Linked DNA regions of Struthio camelus. Each later gene encodes a partner of the first gene's protein in a complex. Links are inferred from orthologs where the notes say so. Each region holds a gene or a part of one and is shown on either strand. Other genes may lie near its edges.

Region 1 (7,085 bases):
AACTAACTCGTGAAAGAGAGAAAAATAGACTGAAAACAATGAGAAAAAAGTAGACAGCTAAGTACATAATATCAGTTAACCTTTGGTTCTTCAATTGTTAATACCCTTTCTCTCCTTTATTCTCTTTCTCCTGAGGTTTTTTTTCCCCTGTATTTAATATTTTTAAAATACAAAATCATTCACGCTATGGGCACTCCTATTCGTGTCACTTCTCTTTGTTCTTCCTCATTTGTAATCTATAGCAGGAAACAAAATACCACTATCAAGTGCTGAAAGAGAATCATAAAGTTGTTTTGTTTCACCTGTTACATCACTACTTTTTGCAAAGCAGCTGTCCCCCTTTATCAACCTGTTGTGCTGCCTCCTAAATGAACCAAACCTTATTTGCACTTCGATTCAACTTCAAGGGGGAAACATTACTATGAAGGATGGGCAGGCCCTGTAGATTGCTCCTACAATATTTCAATAGAATAAATAATAAGAAAAAAGAAAACTAACAGTAAGCAGATTGAGTGAAACACAGGATGCTGTAGACTAACACAGTATTCTGAATCCCTTAATCATAGATATACTTTATAATTAGAGTCCAATTATAAAATACTTTGCCCTGCTGACAGTTCCTATTATCATGACTGACAGTAAAGGCAAATTCTGAATGGAAGTAGCATATATGGACAGAAGGAACAATGAAAATCTTAAAGAAATGTGTAATGTTATAATAAAAGTGAGCTAGAGTTCTATTTGAAACTATAAAATCTTCTTTTTATTTCGATAAGTTCCATATTTCTTTCCCTTTTAAAATTAGTTAAATACATATAGGATAAAGTGTGATTACTTTTGTATAGTATACTTTACCAATTCAATAAGAAACAGTCAAATGCAGGAGATCAAACACATGAAAAGCACTGATTTAAAAAAGCCCTAGCTTTGCATTTTCTCATTCTTGCTTTCACGTGGCACATCTTTATAAATTACAACAAAATATATTTTTTAAAGATAATTTTCCCTTCAATTAAAGTCTACATTTATTCACTTAGAAGATACTAAGTGGTTATTTTACACTTATCTTTGTATTCCCTTCTTTCATTTAACAGTACAAGCATCCCTTTGAGTCATAATGGAACCGATACTCGGAACTGAATCCAATTATAACAACCTACCCACAGTACTAATTGGTGAAAATGCATTGCTGGTAATTGCTGTAAACTCATCCTTGTACACATAATGAACAAGGGCAATAAATTCTATCTAGCGTTAAACAATAGGGAAGACTACCATTAGCACTGTTTTTCTTATGTAAAATGCATTAAAGTGAGTCATCCACTTAGAAGTTACCTACTGATAGCTTTAACCCAGATTCTGGGACTAAGTAAGTGCTGCTAAGTGCTTCCAAAAAAATAAGGCGAGAAAGAGGAAAGAAAAGAAGGCCGAAAACACAGTCACTAGTCCATCGTATTTATTATTGTTTCTAAATCTATAGCTGAGCCTGAAATATGATGTACTGGATTATTTCCCCCCCTTTTTTTTTTATTGCTTGCCTTTCACCATATGATCCTTGCACTGCTCTGGGCAACACTTTCATGCTAATGAACATGCAGTGCTTTAAAGATTTCTATCTTACAGTCATGCAAACATAGAGCTGCTTGAAGCAGGAATATTCATCAGACCTCGGAAAGGCGATTTTGATAAGTAATGATCTGCGAGGCCAGCCCTTAGGCTTGTTATTTAGCTGTGTTGCTTTAAGCATGCTAGCGAGGGTCTGCTTTTGCACACGCGTGCGCACACACGCAAAACCACACGAACAAACACATACATAAAACAAACCCTGGAACTGTCAAAATATTCGTGGTGTGCCCTGGAAAATATCCAGGTAGGAGTGAGCTGAAACGTATATTCACAACTCAAAGCAACGCTGTCCTGGCTGTTTTGCAAGCCTGCCTGAGAGAGGCAAGAAAATCTATTATTTCTTGCGTTATTTCAAATGAAATTGCTAAAGTTTTGGTTTTTTCCTCCTCTTGTTTTTTTTTTTTTTTTTTAAACTCCCTCCTCCAAGAAATAGCGTCAAAACTCCAGCCAAACTGAAATAACCTTTGTGGGAGGAGGGGGCGGGCTCTGTGTAACTCGAAACTTTCCTCGCAGCCCAGCTCCCAACTGTTGGGGGTATATTTAGAGCCGGGCTGCGGCGCTCAGCCCCACGGTGCAGCCGCGGGGCCGGCAGCGGGGCACTCTCCCTCCTGCCGGGCCGCGCCTCGGAGGAGGCTGGCGGACACCCTGCCCCTTTTTCCCCAACAAAAGCAGCCGAAATCCTGCCGTTTGCCCTCACCGCCACTTTCCAGGCGGACTTACTTTATTTGCCGGTATTCTGTATTTTCGCCGCCGCCCGCGCCGCCGCCCCCGGCGGCCGCCGCCGCCCCCCGCGCCCCGACCCGGCCCGACCCGACCCGGCGGCGGGCACTTACGTGGTGGCAGAGGGGAAGGGTCCTTCCGAGGAGTGGTTCATCACCAGGGACTGGAAAAGTGTCAGACTAAAGACTAGCAGCCAGCCAGCAGCCATCTTCCTGATCGAAGATCGATTCCCCCCTTCCCCAAGTCGGCGAGGCGGTAATAACGAGAAGAATAAATGAAATTACTGCCGGGGGTGGGGGGGGGGAGGCCCCCGTTGTTTTTTAAAGCCTCCTCCGGCCCACCCCCCACCCCCTCGCAGGCGCAGCCCGGCGGTGCGCGGAGAAGAGGGAGCGCGGCTCTGGGTGGGCAGGAGGAGGAGGAGGAGGAGGAGGAACGATGGAGAGCTGTGGGTGGAGAGGGGGAAGAGGAGAAAGAGAGAAGAGCGAGCGATACTCCGCTCTGCGCTACTCCAGCAGCAGCTCCGGCTCCATCTGATCCGCCGCCATCAGAGCTACTTTTGTAACAGATCCCCGCTCACTCTGCGCGCCTGTGTGTCCGTCCCTGATTTATTCCCCTGATTGCAGAGTAGAAGGAGGAGGGCGGGAGGCGGGAGGCGGGGTGGGGGCTCCTGGAGGGAGAGAGGAGGAAAGAAGAGTTGGGGAAAGGAGGGGAGGGACGGGGGGGGGGAGGCGTTTGCCGGCTTCCCTGCGGCGAGCGGCGCAGCGGGCGCGGGGGCGGGCGCGGGCGAGCCGCGCTCCCTACAAGGCAGCCGCGCAGCTCCGCGGCAGCGCGCCGGGGGCCGCGGAGCCGCCCCAGCCCGGGGGGGGGGGGGGGGGAACAACCGCGCCCGCGGAGCCGCGCCGCGCTCCCGGCCGCCGCCCCGCGCCCAGACTTCGTGCCGCACCTCGGAGCCTCGCGGCCGCTATTTTTAAACGCGCTTCGTGCTTTATTTTAATCCGCCTCCCCCCCCCCCGCCACCACCGCCACCACCCCCCTGCTGCCCTTTAAGCAGCAGCCTCACACGGCGAGGGAATCCGTGTGCCGCCAATCTGGAGTGCGTTACATACATACGGATATGTGTGTGTATATATATATATATATATATATATGGGGGGGGGAGGTTAAGCAAAAAAGAAAAGACGCTCCCTTCCCTTTCGGTTTCAGGACCGGCGCTGGGGTGCGCGCGGTGCGGCTCCGCGGGCGCCCGCGGGGGCTGCGCGCCCGCGGAGGAGCTGCCCCCGTGGAGCGCTCGGGGAGCGGGGCGCGCACCGGGGTCCTCGGAGCGCGTCCCTGCCCCCGCCGCGCCTCTCACCCAGATACTGTTTTCAGACTCCTTTGGAAAAATCAGAAGGCAGATTCCTCTCCCAGCCTTTATTTTATCCGCCGTCACGTATCCCATCGCTGTGGCGGCTATATATTGGCCCTACAAATGGAGAAAGTGATCCGGGGACCTATTTCTTGGTTATTTAGTAAAGCAATTAAAAGTTCAGTGAAATTTTTGATTTTCTTTATGATCTGGGTTGTTTTTTTTTCCTTTCTACATTTTTTGTAATTAATCCAACAGGTGGAAATAAATATGCAGACCTGGTATTCATGTTGTTTCCATTCCTACTGTATCTGAGGGTCTCCTAATCTTGACTGTATTAATTCACAGCTATTTCTGTAAAACTAAAAAGTGCTATCATTTCTATTTTAAAGGTGACAGAAGGACCAAGGCTGAGCTCCACAAATGGAGAATTACATGTTCACGTTGCCCAGGCACCAAGCCAGCACAGTATTTCAGTTGCAATCTGTAAACGGGGTAGTCACTCTCCTGTAGTGTTTCTGGATTGGTGCTGGCAGTCTGGAGATTGTGGGCAGAACTACCAACATCTTCACCTACCCACCTACCTGCAGCTATGTAGGATTTAGAGTTTGGAGGAGAGTCCAAAATAGCAATTTCTGAAACAGTACTGAAGCCTGCAGGCTCGTTCGGAGGGTACCTGTCCTCCTGCACGTGTAGGTCTCCGTAGGCTTCACGGTTAGCCCACATCAGGTTGCCCTGGTGCACTCAGCTGTCACCACTCGGGTGCATACCTCAGCTTTCCAAAACGGGCGTAAGGCGCGGATTGCTGTGCCTGTGCCATGAGGTACGAGTGGCGACTGCAAGTCTGCTGGCATGCGGTAAGCTGAAGGTCCTGCTTCACGTAGGACACGTCTAAATGAGACCACAGAGTGGGGAGAGACTTGGGGGAGTGGAGTACAGGACCAGAGAAATGCGAGTACACGGAATAACGAGAGTGTGCCAAGGCAGAACATGGAGCAAAGGCACGGAGGTAAGAGGCTGGAAAGGCATAGGGAGTTGAGGTTGCCAAAAACTATGGCAAGTCTACTTCGTAGAGTACAGCTTAAGGCAGTTCCTCACTCCAGGGGCCCCACACTGTTTAAGGGTAGCACGTTCCAGTATCTAAAGGGGATCACTTCAGTTAGGAACATGACTGTTCCCCAGATCCCACTGCTTCCGCTCCTTGCAGGACTGAAGGTCAGCCCGATTTCATGCCTCACCTGCGCAGGGGTCCCCAAGCTAGACGTTCCTCTGTTAGTGGTGTCCTGGCACCCCTGCGGCTTCACGGTGGGTCATGCAGAGATAGGAATGACACTGGCAACACTCATTTGGAATAAGGAGTTTATTCCTTATACTCCCCTCTGCCCTTCCCTACCGCAAGGCCACCACAGCCACCCAGGATGCCCAGGAGAGCTTGTGTGGGGCACACGGCGGGAGAGTGCTCGCACTCAATGCACAGCACTGCACCAGGGTCCCCGGAGGCCCACAAGCTGCTCACCAAGCCATAGCCAACAGACTGGGAAACAGGTACTCTCCACTCCTCTGGCTGCTGTGTGCACGCGTGAAAGGATGCGTCTGTTGGTCGGGGAGAGAGGGCACAACTGCCTGTGCAAGCCCAAGTGGGAGATGCTTTCAGCGGGCGCCAGCGGCTAGCGCTCGCTAGAGCAAGCGAGACTGAGCTCCCCTCCCTCGGGCACACTGTTTCTGCATACACCATAGCAAACAAAGATCAAAGAATGATAACATAAAACACCGGTAAATCCAGGGGCACAGTGTTACACAGGAAGAATTTCTTCACCATTTGTATAATTTTCTCTACACCCACATATGTGATGCTGCATTCATCATTTACAGAGCTCCTCAGGGCGATGACTACTAATAATAATTTGAACCCCACTAGCACATGACTAGCAGTGCAACAGTGCAATGCATGAGTGTGGGGGCACCCCATCCAGTACAGTAAGGTCCAGATCGGAAGTCTTTCAGCAGTACCAAAACATTGTTATGGTAGCTGAAATGCGAAAAGGATGTATTACTGTTTTTAATACAGCAGTACTTGAAGTATCAAGACTACTGTGCTAAATATTTACAACTATATAACAAGACTCCCAGCAAGGTACCAATCCTGCAATGAACTCCACATAGATGAAAGTGCCTGTCTGCATGGAGCTCGCTGAAGCTCTGGGATGAAGAAGATGAGAGAGGATGTCTGTGCTGCAGCATGGAGGAGAAATGCCCAGGTTACCTCTAAACAGGCTAATTCAGGTGCAAGGAGCAGCGTGAACTGGAACAGAAGCGTGGAACGCAACATGGGTTACCTCTGGGGATCTCACGGGAAGGCTCAAATCTCCAATATGCAACCCAAGTTCAGCCTGCAAGCTTTACAAGATTTACAAGTAAGCTTGGACCTGAGCCCAGCTTTGAGACAACCTGGAGTCAAATAACAGTTTTCCTTCAGAATTACGTGAAGCTTGGAGCTGACTTTTGAATTTTTGCATTTACTCGAGTCTGAAATGCAGAAAATCAGTGCCACCCTGAAGCAAAGAGAAGAAAAGATTGCAGAAGCTCCAGGAGTAATGTATTGTTTACTATTATCTCACTCCTTATACTCCATGTATCTATTTATGCCTTAAAAGTGTGTTTATTTACAAGGCAATTAATAAGGCTGCATAATGTTTACAAGTATTGACCTAACCCTACAAACGTGTGGATAAGAGTAATTGTACTCAACTGACTTCCCACGAGCTTTGATGGGAAGGTAAGGCTGACTTAATGCATAATATTTGCAGAACTGGGATTCTTGGTATTGCCTCATATTCCCGTAATGCAGAAAAAAAGTCCATTTTTGTCATGAAATTTCGAAAAGCCACTAAAACCTCCTAAGTGACTAATTTATTAACATTTGATGATTACATTCCATATGCAGTCATGCTTTGCAGTATTTTAAATATTTGATTTCAACTTACAATAATGTTGCACCCCTGATATAATTTATCTGTGTTAAGGTTCCTAGAGATCTATTATGGCTGACAAATCTTCTTTTTTAAGTACTTGAATATGGACTTGAATGACAAACCACAGATGTAAATCTTTCTTCATTCTTATTTCACCTCATTGTAAATTTATCACCCGTCGTATCTGGCTGAGACCTTTCTGTGAAGGAGCATATGACTGACAGGGATTAATATATGGACAGGGGTCTTACAAAAAGTATCCTCTGCACCTACTGAAATTTCTGGGAATCTTTAAATTGACCTTAGTGGTCCTTATTTCGGAAATAAAATTTATTATTGAAAGATACGGCATTTATTTTGCATCAAAGACTTCTTCTAAATTCAGTATATCAGTAATGAGTATGAATTCATGATCAAGCCTT
Region 2 (7,130 bases), on another chromosome or scaffold:
CTTTTAAATAAAAAAGGGAAGTTAAAATTAAGGCTAATCTTTTCCCTGTCAGTCCTAGCTGTAGTGATCATATTGTTGTGACAGAGTAAGTCTAATGAAAAATGTTTTAAATTTCATAGACTCTTCTGTTATTAAACAGACTTTGCACATATTTTCTTGCATATGCAGGCCCTCAGAAACAAACCTTAGCAAAGACATCCATGCAGCATTGTGGTAGCCTTTGGTCGTTCCTGAAAGGCATTATTCCTTCTCCAGAGGTAATTTCCAGGTCTCAGAGGTTGCCAGCTGTGGAAGCAGTGTAGAAATCCCTATGTGATTCCTGCTCCTTATGGAAGCTGCAGATCCCTTTTTGAGCAGCGCATCCTCGTGTGCGGGGATTGTGTGGCTTCCCAGCTGGGCTCTCCCTTCAGCACTGCATGGTACCAGCTGACCCTCCACCAGCTCATGTGTTTGCACCTTCAGCAGCAGTTCTCTGCTGGATTTGAGGCTTTACTCAATATCAATATCCATGGCTGCTTCATTTTTAAGAATGCTTTTAGCTGGCTTGTGCCTAGTGTCCTCTTGGCTCTTTCTGTTAAAATACCGATGTGCCTATTTAGCAGGACAATAAACAGATCAACTGAAAAGCAATTCTGAGTGTGAAACTCTTACAAGACATACCTGTTTCTAGCTAAAAAATGAATGGCATCTCCTGACACAGAAAATTCTTTTAAACTTTCCTAAAGATGACCCAGAGGCAGTGCAGTGTTACACAACAAAAATTAGTTCTTCTAGGCAAAGTTAGAAAACAGGTGATGTTCTGAAAGGAGAAAGTTTGGCTTCAGGTCTGCTGAGAAGAGATGCTTGCTAACTGTGTGGGACTGCTAAGCAAAGGGCTGGAGCTCATCTGGTTTTGCTCAGGACAGGCAAGATAACCTTGCTGTAAAGAGTTGGTTTATTTAGTGTCTAATCTACAATTTGGAGCCCGCTACTCCTTGTCTTGTTCCCAGTGGGGATGGTGCACGTGCGGGATGGAGGACATGGGGAGTGGGGCAGGTCTATGGGGTCCCATGCTGACTCTGGCGGGGTTGAGATGGTGACTGGTTTCTGCTTGACTGAGATGTGTTGGCTGTTGCGTGGTTCCTCTGTGCTGGAGGCACCTTGGTGGGGGAGCCTTGTGCATGGAGAGGAATGGCAGCTGCTGGAGGCAGGCGGAGACCTGGGGCAGGCGTGGGAGTGGGAAAGAGCTGTGCATGGATCAGGGCAGTATAAAGCTGCAAGTCCAGTAGCACTGGGCAGAAACCAAAGCAGAGCTAGCCCAAAGTGGCTCCTGAATGCAAAGTAGTAGGGCAGGAAGGTACCTTTCAAGAGGATAGAGTCCCTTCCCTGGTCCCAAATGGGACCTGCTTTATCCAGATGGTTCTTGATCAGGGTTTGTCTGGCCAGCTCTTAGACTGCTGGGGAGCTGCTGGGTTTTATCCCCATGCTTAACTCATCTTGCTATTAGGAGTTTTTTCCAGTGTCTAATTTACAATTTACAGCCCATTACTCCTTGTACTGTCCCCAGTGGGGATTGAGCACGATTTATTCATCTACCTTTGTAGCAACACTTTACATAATTGAAGCTTGCTATCATGTCTGTCTTCCGCCTCCTAATTTCCTGACTAAAACTTGGTTCTTTCACTCTTTTTCCAGCAGGCCATGTTTTGCTGCCCTGCATGGCTCTTTGCTGCCCTCTGAACTTTCTCCAATTAGTCTGCATCTGCAGTGTTTGTGGCTGTACATGCAGGGGGAGGAGGAAAGCTAGTTGGGCTTTTGTGCTCGCCAGGAAGAAAAGCACTATTACAAAGCTCCAGGTCCTTTAGGTTACTTGGGGAGCGCTGCTGTGCAGGAATAAGCTTAGCAAGTGGGCACTGAAAATAGATCAAGCCCAGGAAGTGTCTGCAAAATGATGCAGGGTGGGATTTGGGGAAGCGGGCTGAGGCCCTGGGCGATGGGCGCTCCCAGGAAGCCGCGTTTGGTGGAGCGGAGTTGGATGCTCATGTGTTTATTAAAGATGCTTGTCTGGGTTGAGCTGGGATGTGTTGCTTTGTGGTTTTGCACAGGCAAAACCTTTCCAGACAGCACCTCGGGGGCTGCCCGGGGCGCTCGGCGCTTCCTTTGCTCTCTGTGTTTGCGTGGCCGAGGGAGGTGAGCGCAGGAGGTCTCTGGGGTGCGTGCGGGCTCCTGCCTGGTGGGAGCGTGGCAGTCGGGTGCAGAGAGGCGCTGGCGGGTGGGTGCTGCTGCCTCTGCTGCTCGCTCGCTCCCCCGAGACGAAAGCTGCCCGGATGTCAGCGCTGATCTTGACTGTCTCTCGCTGTATCGCGCTGCTGTCTAGCCGTAGCTGCGCGGGGTGGTGGGAGGAGAAGCTTGGTTTCGTGTCTGCGCGGATCGGGGTTGTCTTCTCTTTCGGGATGGGGAAGCTAATCTGCATTTGTGTCTAATCATCCGTGCAGCTGGCAGAATTAGATGTGTAACGAGCTCTTGGGGAGCCTCGCCTTGCCGCCTCCTGCTGAAGGAGCGAAAAGCGATGGTTGGCGCTGCCTCGGCTTTTACTGGGGAAGGCAAAGCGGGGCTGGTGTGCGTGGAAACGCAGGGAAAGAGGGAGCGCGAGACGCGTGTCGCACGGTGAACCCCCAGAGTTCAATTACCCCCGCTCCCACCGCCGCCAGGTAACCATGGAGACAGCCTAATGCAAAGCATCTCCAGCCCCCAACTGACGGCGTTCAACATATATATATATATATGTTTCTTAACAAAGACCCTGAGCCCGTCCCTGGTGGGAAGGAGCTGCCTTTGTGTCCAGGCCGGCTGCCATGATGGGGTCGGGCAGGGCTGGGACGAAGGGCGCTGGAGCCAGTGGGGCGCCCTCTCGGAGGGCATCTCTGCCTCCGTCCCGGTGCCCGCTCCTGCGCTGGAGCTGGATGTCCCGATGGGGAGGGAAGCGGCCTGCCCCTGGCAGAGGCCATGGTAGAGGGACTCCAAGGGTTGAGGGCTGCAGCGCCCGAGGGAGCCCGGACGCTGGAGGAGACGTTGAAACGCAGCGCTCCTCTCCAGGCTTTTTCTGCCTGTTGAGCTTCGCTGGGGTGTGGGGGCCTGCAGGGGAGCTGGGCTGTGCCGCTGCCCAAGGGGCCTGCGGGGCCGGGGGCCATAGCGCGTCCTGCCTGTGGTGGCAGCTGGTGGTTGCCATGGCGACTGAGCGTGTCCCCCACCTCGCGCAGTGGGGCCTGTCCCGCTCGGCAGCCTGGCCGCAGGGTCGCTGCGCGAACCCGCAGCGATGTCGAGTTGCGGCCTGTCGCTTCAACCCTCCCCGGCGATTTATTTTTTTCCGTGGGCTCTGGGCTGTGTAAGAGGAGGCCTCGAGCTGCGGCGGCCATCGGCAGCCCTGGGAGGGCCACGTCCCCCCGTGTGCCTCCCCTCGCTGCTGCTCCCGCTTCAGCCGCGGGTCGAAGCGGAGCCGGCTGCTGGCGGCGGCCTGGTGTGTGGGTTGGAGCAGGGGCCCCTTTGCACCAACATGGTGCATGGCTGGAAAACTTGCATTTTTTTAATTTTGTTAAATTCCAGGAGCTGTGTTGAGGTCTCGGCTCCCTTGGGAGCTCAGAGCAAGGCAGATGTGAAAAGCCCCAGGCTGGGGAGAGCTGGGTGACCTGCAGGTCTGTGGCCACCGGCTCCCACCCCTGGTGGGCGCTTGGTGCTTACCTGGTCCCACCTGAAGATGGGTGGGAGAGCACAGGGGCGTCTGCTGGGCAATGGGTCGGTTCATGTTAAACCTGTTAAGAGGTCCTGGACGTGGGGTGTTCAGCTCCAGCCTGGGAGTTGAACGGTGGCCAGCTCGGCTCGGGCCCGGCCCCTTCCCCGGTGCGTGCTGTGCCTGGACGGTCCTGCCTCCGCTGCCTGGAGCTCGGCTCCTTCCCTCTTTGTTGTTCCCCGGCTGCCCCCTCTGGTATATGTGCGAGTTCCCTTTCTCCGATTGTCAGAAATTTCTTTTCCACTGTGTGGGCAGGAGACAGATTTTAACTGTCTCTATTTTCTCCCTTTTTTTATTTCTCCCCCCTCCCCCTTTCCTCTTGCACTCCTTCCTCTGCTCCTTCTCTTGTCTCTCTCCCTCCCCCTTCCCGTCTCCCCCCCGCCCCCCTCCCCGTCTCCTTTTCTCCCCCCCTCTGTCTCTTTATATTACAAATAATGTCTCTGGAATAATACGTGACCTCACCCAGCTCGAAGTGCAGGAGCCATGCCTTTATTTCAAGGTAAGCTCTTGCTTTCGCTTGCTGCTGGTGGAGATGGTGGATGCGCTGCGCTCTCGCTCGCTTTCCAAAAGTAGGTAACGCCGGGTTTGCTTTTTGGCATTGTTCGTCCCTACCTAGCGCAGGCAGCCAGGCGCTCGCTGCTACCTGTTGGGGGAACGGCTGGCTCTTGCGCTCCAGCCCCTCCTTTTCCATGATACTTCCAGGAGACAATCCCCCCTCCCGCTGCTGTCAACTGGTGCTGCCTCCTTCCTTTTTCTCTCCTCCAGCAATTTGGTCTCCGTGGACATTTCCTCTCCTCCCTTCTCCCAAGGCTTTTGTTTTGTCTTCGCTGCCAGGGATGCTCTGGGTTTTTTCTATGCTGCTGCTTCGGGCAAGCCGTGGTTTGGAGACCTACTGGGAAAGGAGCCGGCGGCAGGGTGGAGAGAAAGGTGCGGTGTCTTCCCACGCTGTCCGCGGTCCCGAGGGTCTCCTTGCCTGGCGCGGGGTTGCACTGTGGACGCGCTCGCCTCTGCCGTGTTCCCTCCGTGCACTGGGGCATTAGGCTGTGCTCTTTGCAGGGGGACTCAAGTTTTAAGAAGGACTCCCTGTATATATATTTTCTTAAAGAGGATTTGTCTGCATCGTTGGGGTTCAGCTGTGCTTTGGAAAAAGCTCTGGTTTGACAAAGTTTTTATTAAGGTAGCCTATGAGTGTGTGGAGGCTATTCAGTTATTTTAAGGTGGATCGCTGGCTCCTCAGGGGGATGGTTGGGGTGTAGCGGTGCGGATGCGGTGGGAAGAGGAGAGGAGCGGATGCCTTGCCGGAGACCCCAGCGGGAGCAGCAGGTGTGTGTGGGGACCAGGAGCGTGGCTGGGCTGGAGCTATTGCGCCTTTGCTTCTCTTCTAAAGCTTGCTTGTGACGGTCTTCCCCGGCTGTCCTGGCTCCTGCTTTGCTGATGCTGGGGGGCTGTGCTTGGGCCATGGGGAGGATGAGTCCCCCCATGGACCCTGGCTGGCTGCCTTTAGAAAAGGGGCTTGGGGGTGGGTCTGTGCTGGATGGTGGCTGCCCTGCTTCATACCTGAGGGTATGGGGGGCCATGGAGTGGGCTGAGCTCGGTCAGGGTGTCTAACCCTGATGGTGCAGATCTCTTCTCTTGCCTTGGATGCTTGAGACCCTTGTTTCTGTTAGGGAGCCCTTCCTCAGAAACTGGAGCAGATCTGTTGTCCAGTGGTGGATTGGCTGTGTGCTTGGTCCCGCTCCACTCCTCTGCTACCCCTGTGGCCTCCCAAATGTACTGGGTTTCCCTGAGGAGACCAGGTCTCTGCTGGGAGTGTGCAGTCTGCATGCTTTCCCCCCAGGTTTCCTTGCCTGATGGCCTTGGGCTCCTACCTGGCTTGTGTTATCTCCCCTGCACCTGGTCTGCACTTTTTTTTGTGGGTCCATGTGCTGCTCAGGAGTTTGGGTCTTCCACCAGTGCCACCTTGGAAGTGGTGATGGCTGTTGGTGAATAAGCAGTTCCCAAAATCAGGGTGCTGTTTGTCTTGCTCCTGTAGCTCTCCTGGCTGCTTCTGCTTCTTGCAGAGAGGGTGTGTTTAGGTGCTCTTGGCTTGCTGTTTTTTACGTAGCTGGAGGGAGACAGAAATAATTCTCCCCCAGGGATTCTGGGCAGGCATATGCTCCTTTACACCCTGTCCATGCTGCCTACTCCCATGTGCTGCATCCTCTTGGGTGGGTGATCTCATCCTGCTTTAGGTGCTGATGTGAGGCCAGCCTTGGTCTGTCCATGCTGCAGATGGGGAGGTCTCAGCTCAGGATGCTGTGGGATGTGGTGACACTCCAGGCTGGTCCGGATCCACTGTGCTGGGGCTGTTTGGCAGAGGAGGCATGATGCTGCAGAAGGCATTGCCAGCGAGATGAGACACACGTTTGCAGCCCTGATGACTGCTGATGGCATCTTTGGCAAGGCCAGGGTATTGCTGCTCCAGAGCCCTGGGCATGCAGCCACTGGTTGAGCAATTGGAGACAGAGCACCATCCAAATGGGAGTCTTTTGGAGAGATTCCCTTCTGCTCCTGCTCCTCCATGCGTTTGGGTAGCGCTGCTGGTACAAAGCAGCAGCTGGGGTGCTGGCCAGGCACTTGAGACCTGACTTCCCTTGCCCAAACTAGCTGTGGGAAGTCCCTCCTGTTTGCTAGCGTGAGGGTCTCAACAATGTGATTCTCCTGGTGGCACAGTGCAGGAGGGCATTGCAAAGCCATGGGGCAGGGCTCTCAGCACCAGTGTGGTGGGAAGACTTGGTTTCCTTTGCTGTCTGTCTCTGGCTTCAGGGAGTGGAGGAGAAGATCACAAAAATAGGCTGTCCCGGGGAGCTGAGTTCCCCTTTTTGCTGCTTTGGGAGCCTCTTAGCCTGGTTGACTTTCTTCATTCCTCAGAGGTCCTATAGTGCCCATAAAGTTTGTTTGCAGTAGTTTGGGATGCGTGTTCGTCTAAGTAGCTCTGGGCTTCCTTCTCTCCTGTTGCACAGGACAAAGTAAACCTCTCCCTGGTTGAAGGCTGAGTGAGTGTGGCTTGTCTGCAGGGGAGCAGATGTGCTTTGTGGTAACCGCTGTTCCCCAAGGAAGTCTCCTGGCTAGTGTTGGCTTTGACCCCCTGCGAACAAATCCTCCTGTGGATGTGTGAGTCTGCAGCCCCCTGGGCCCCCTCCCCAGAGTGGTTGAGTCAATGCACCCACCCACTGCATCCAGTACTGTGAGTCACAGGCTTTTCATACACTGGTGTGAATCACTCACAGCCACACTGATGACTTTAGTGACAGTTGAAAAGAGAAAACAATCACCCCTCTTCCCCCTCCCCATCACCACTATCAGTGCTACCAGGCTCTTGCTC

The links. The genes of interacting proteins can lie anywhere in the genome.
Region 2: the proteins of CACNA2D1 (region 1) and CACNA1E are in contact, whole or in part, in a cryo-EM structure (PDB 8EPM), measured with the Homo sapiens proteins. The link is inferred for Struthio camelus from reciprocal best matches to the Homo sapiens genes CACNA2D1 and CACNA1E. Residues at the interface, in NP_001353796.1 of Homo sapiens: Thr170, Asp171, Tyr173, Ile233, Leu235, Ser261, Gly262, Ser263, Ser265, Gly266, Leu267, Lys270, Ala327, Lys328, Gly329, Ile330, Thr331, Glu366, Gln391, Asn393, Tyr394, Ile416, Gly417; in NP_001192222.1 of Homo sapiens: Gln110, Leu112, Pro113, Glu114, Asp115, Asp116, Lys117, Pro119, Arg122, Asn630, Phe631, Asn632, Asp633, Gly634, Ile1330, Gly1331, Asn1332, Val1334, His1336, Met1341, Val1343, Arg1346, Arg1393, Ser1394.

Annotation. Positions count from the first base shown.
Region 1 is NC_090942.1:11,268,760-11,275,844, reverse strand, and holds the start of CACNA2D1 (voltage-dependent calcium channel subunit alpha-2/delta-1), read right to left. Parts: upstream 3,009-7,085; 5' UTR 2,555-3,008; coding exon 2,460-2,554; intron 1-2,459. UniProt on the Homo sapiens protein: The alpha-2/delta subunit of voltage-dependent calcium channels regulates calcium current density and activation/inactivation kinetics of the calcium channel. Plays an important role in excitation-contraction coupling.
Region 2 is NC_090949.1:6,979,917-6,987,046, forward strand, and holds the start of CACNA1E (voltage-dependent R-type calcium channel subunit alpha-1E), read left to right. Parts: upstream 1-4,130; 5' UTR 4,131-4,265; intron 4,266-4,458; exon of another isoform or gene 4,459-4,693; intron 4,694-7,130. UniProt on the Homo sapiens protein: Voltage-sensitive calcium channels (VSCC) mediate the entry of calcium ions into excitable cells.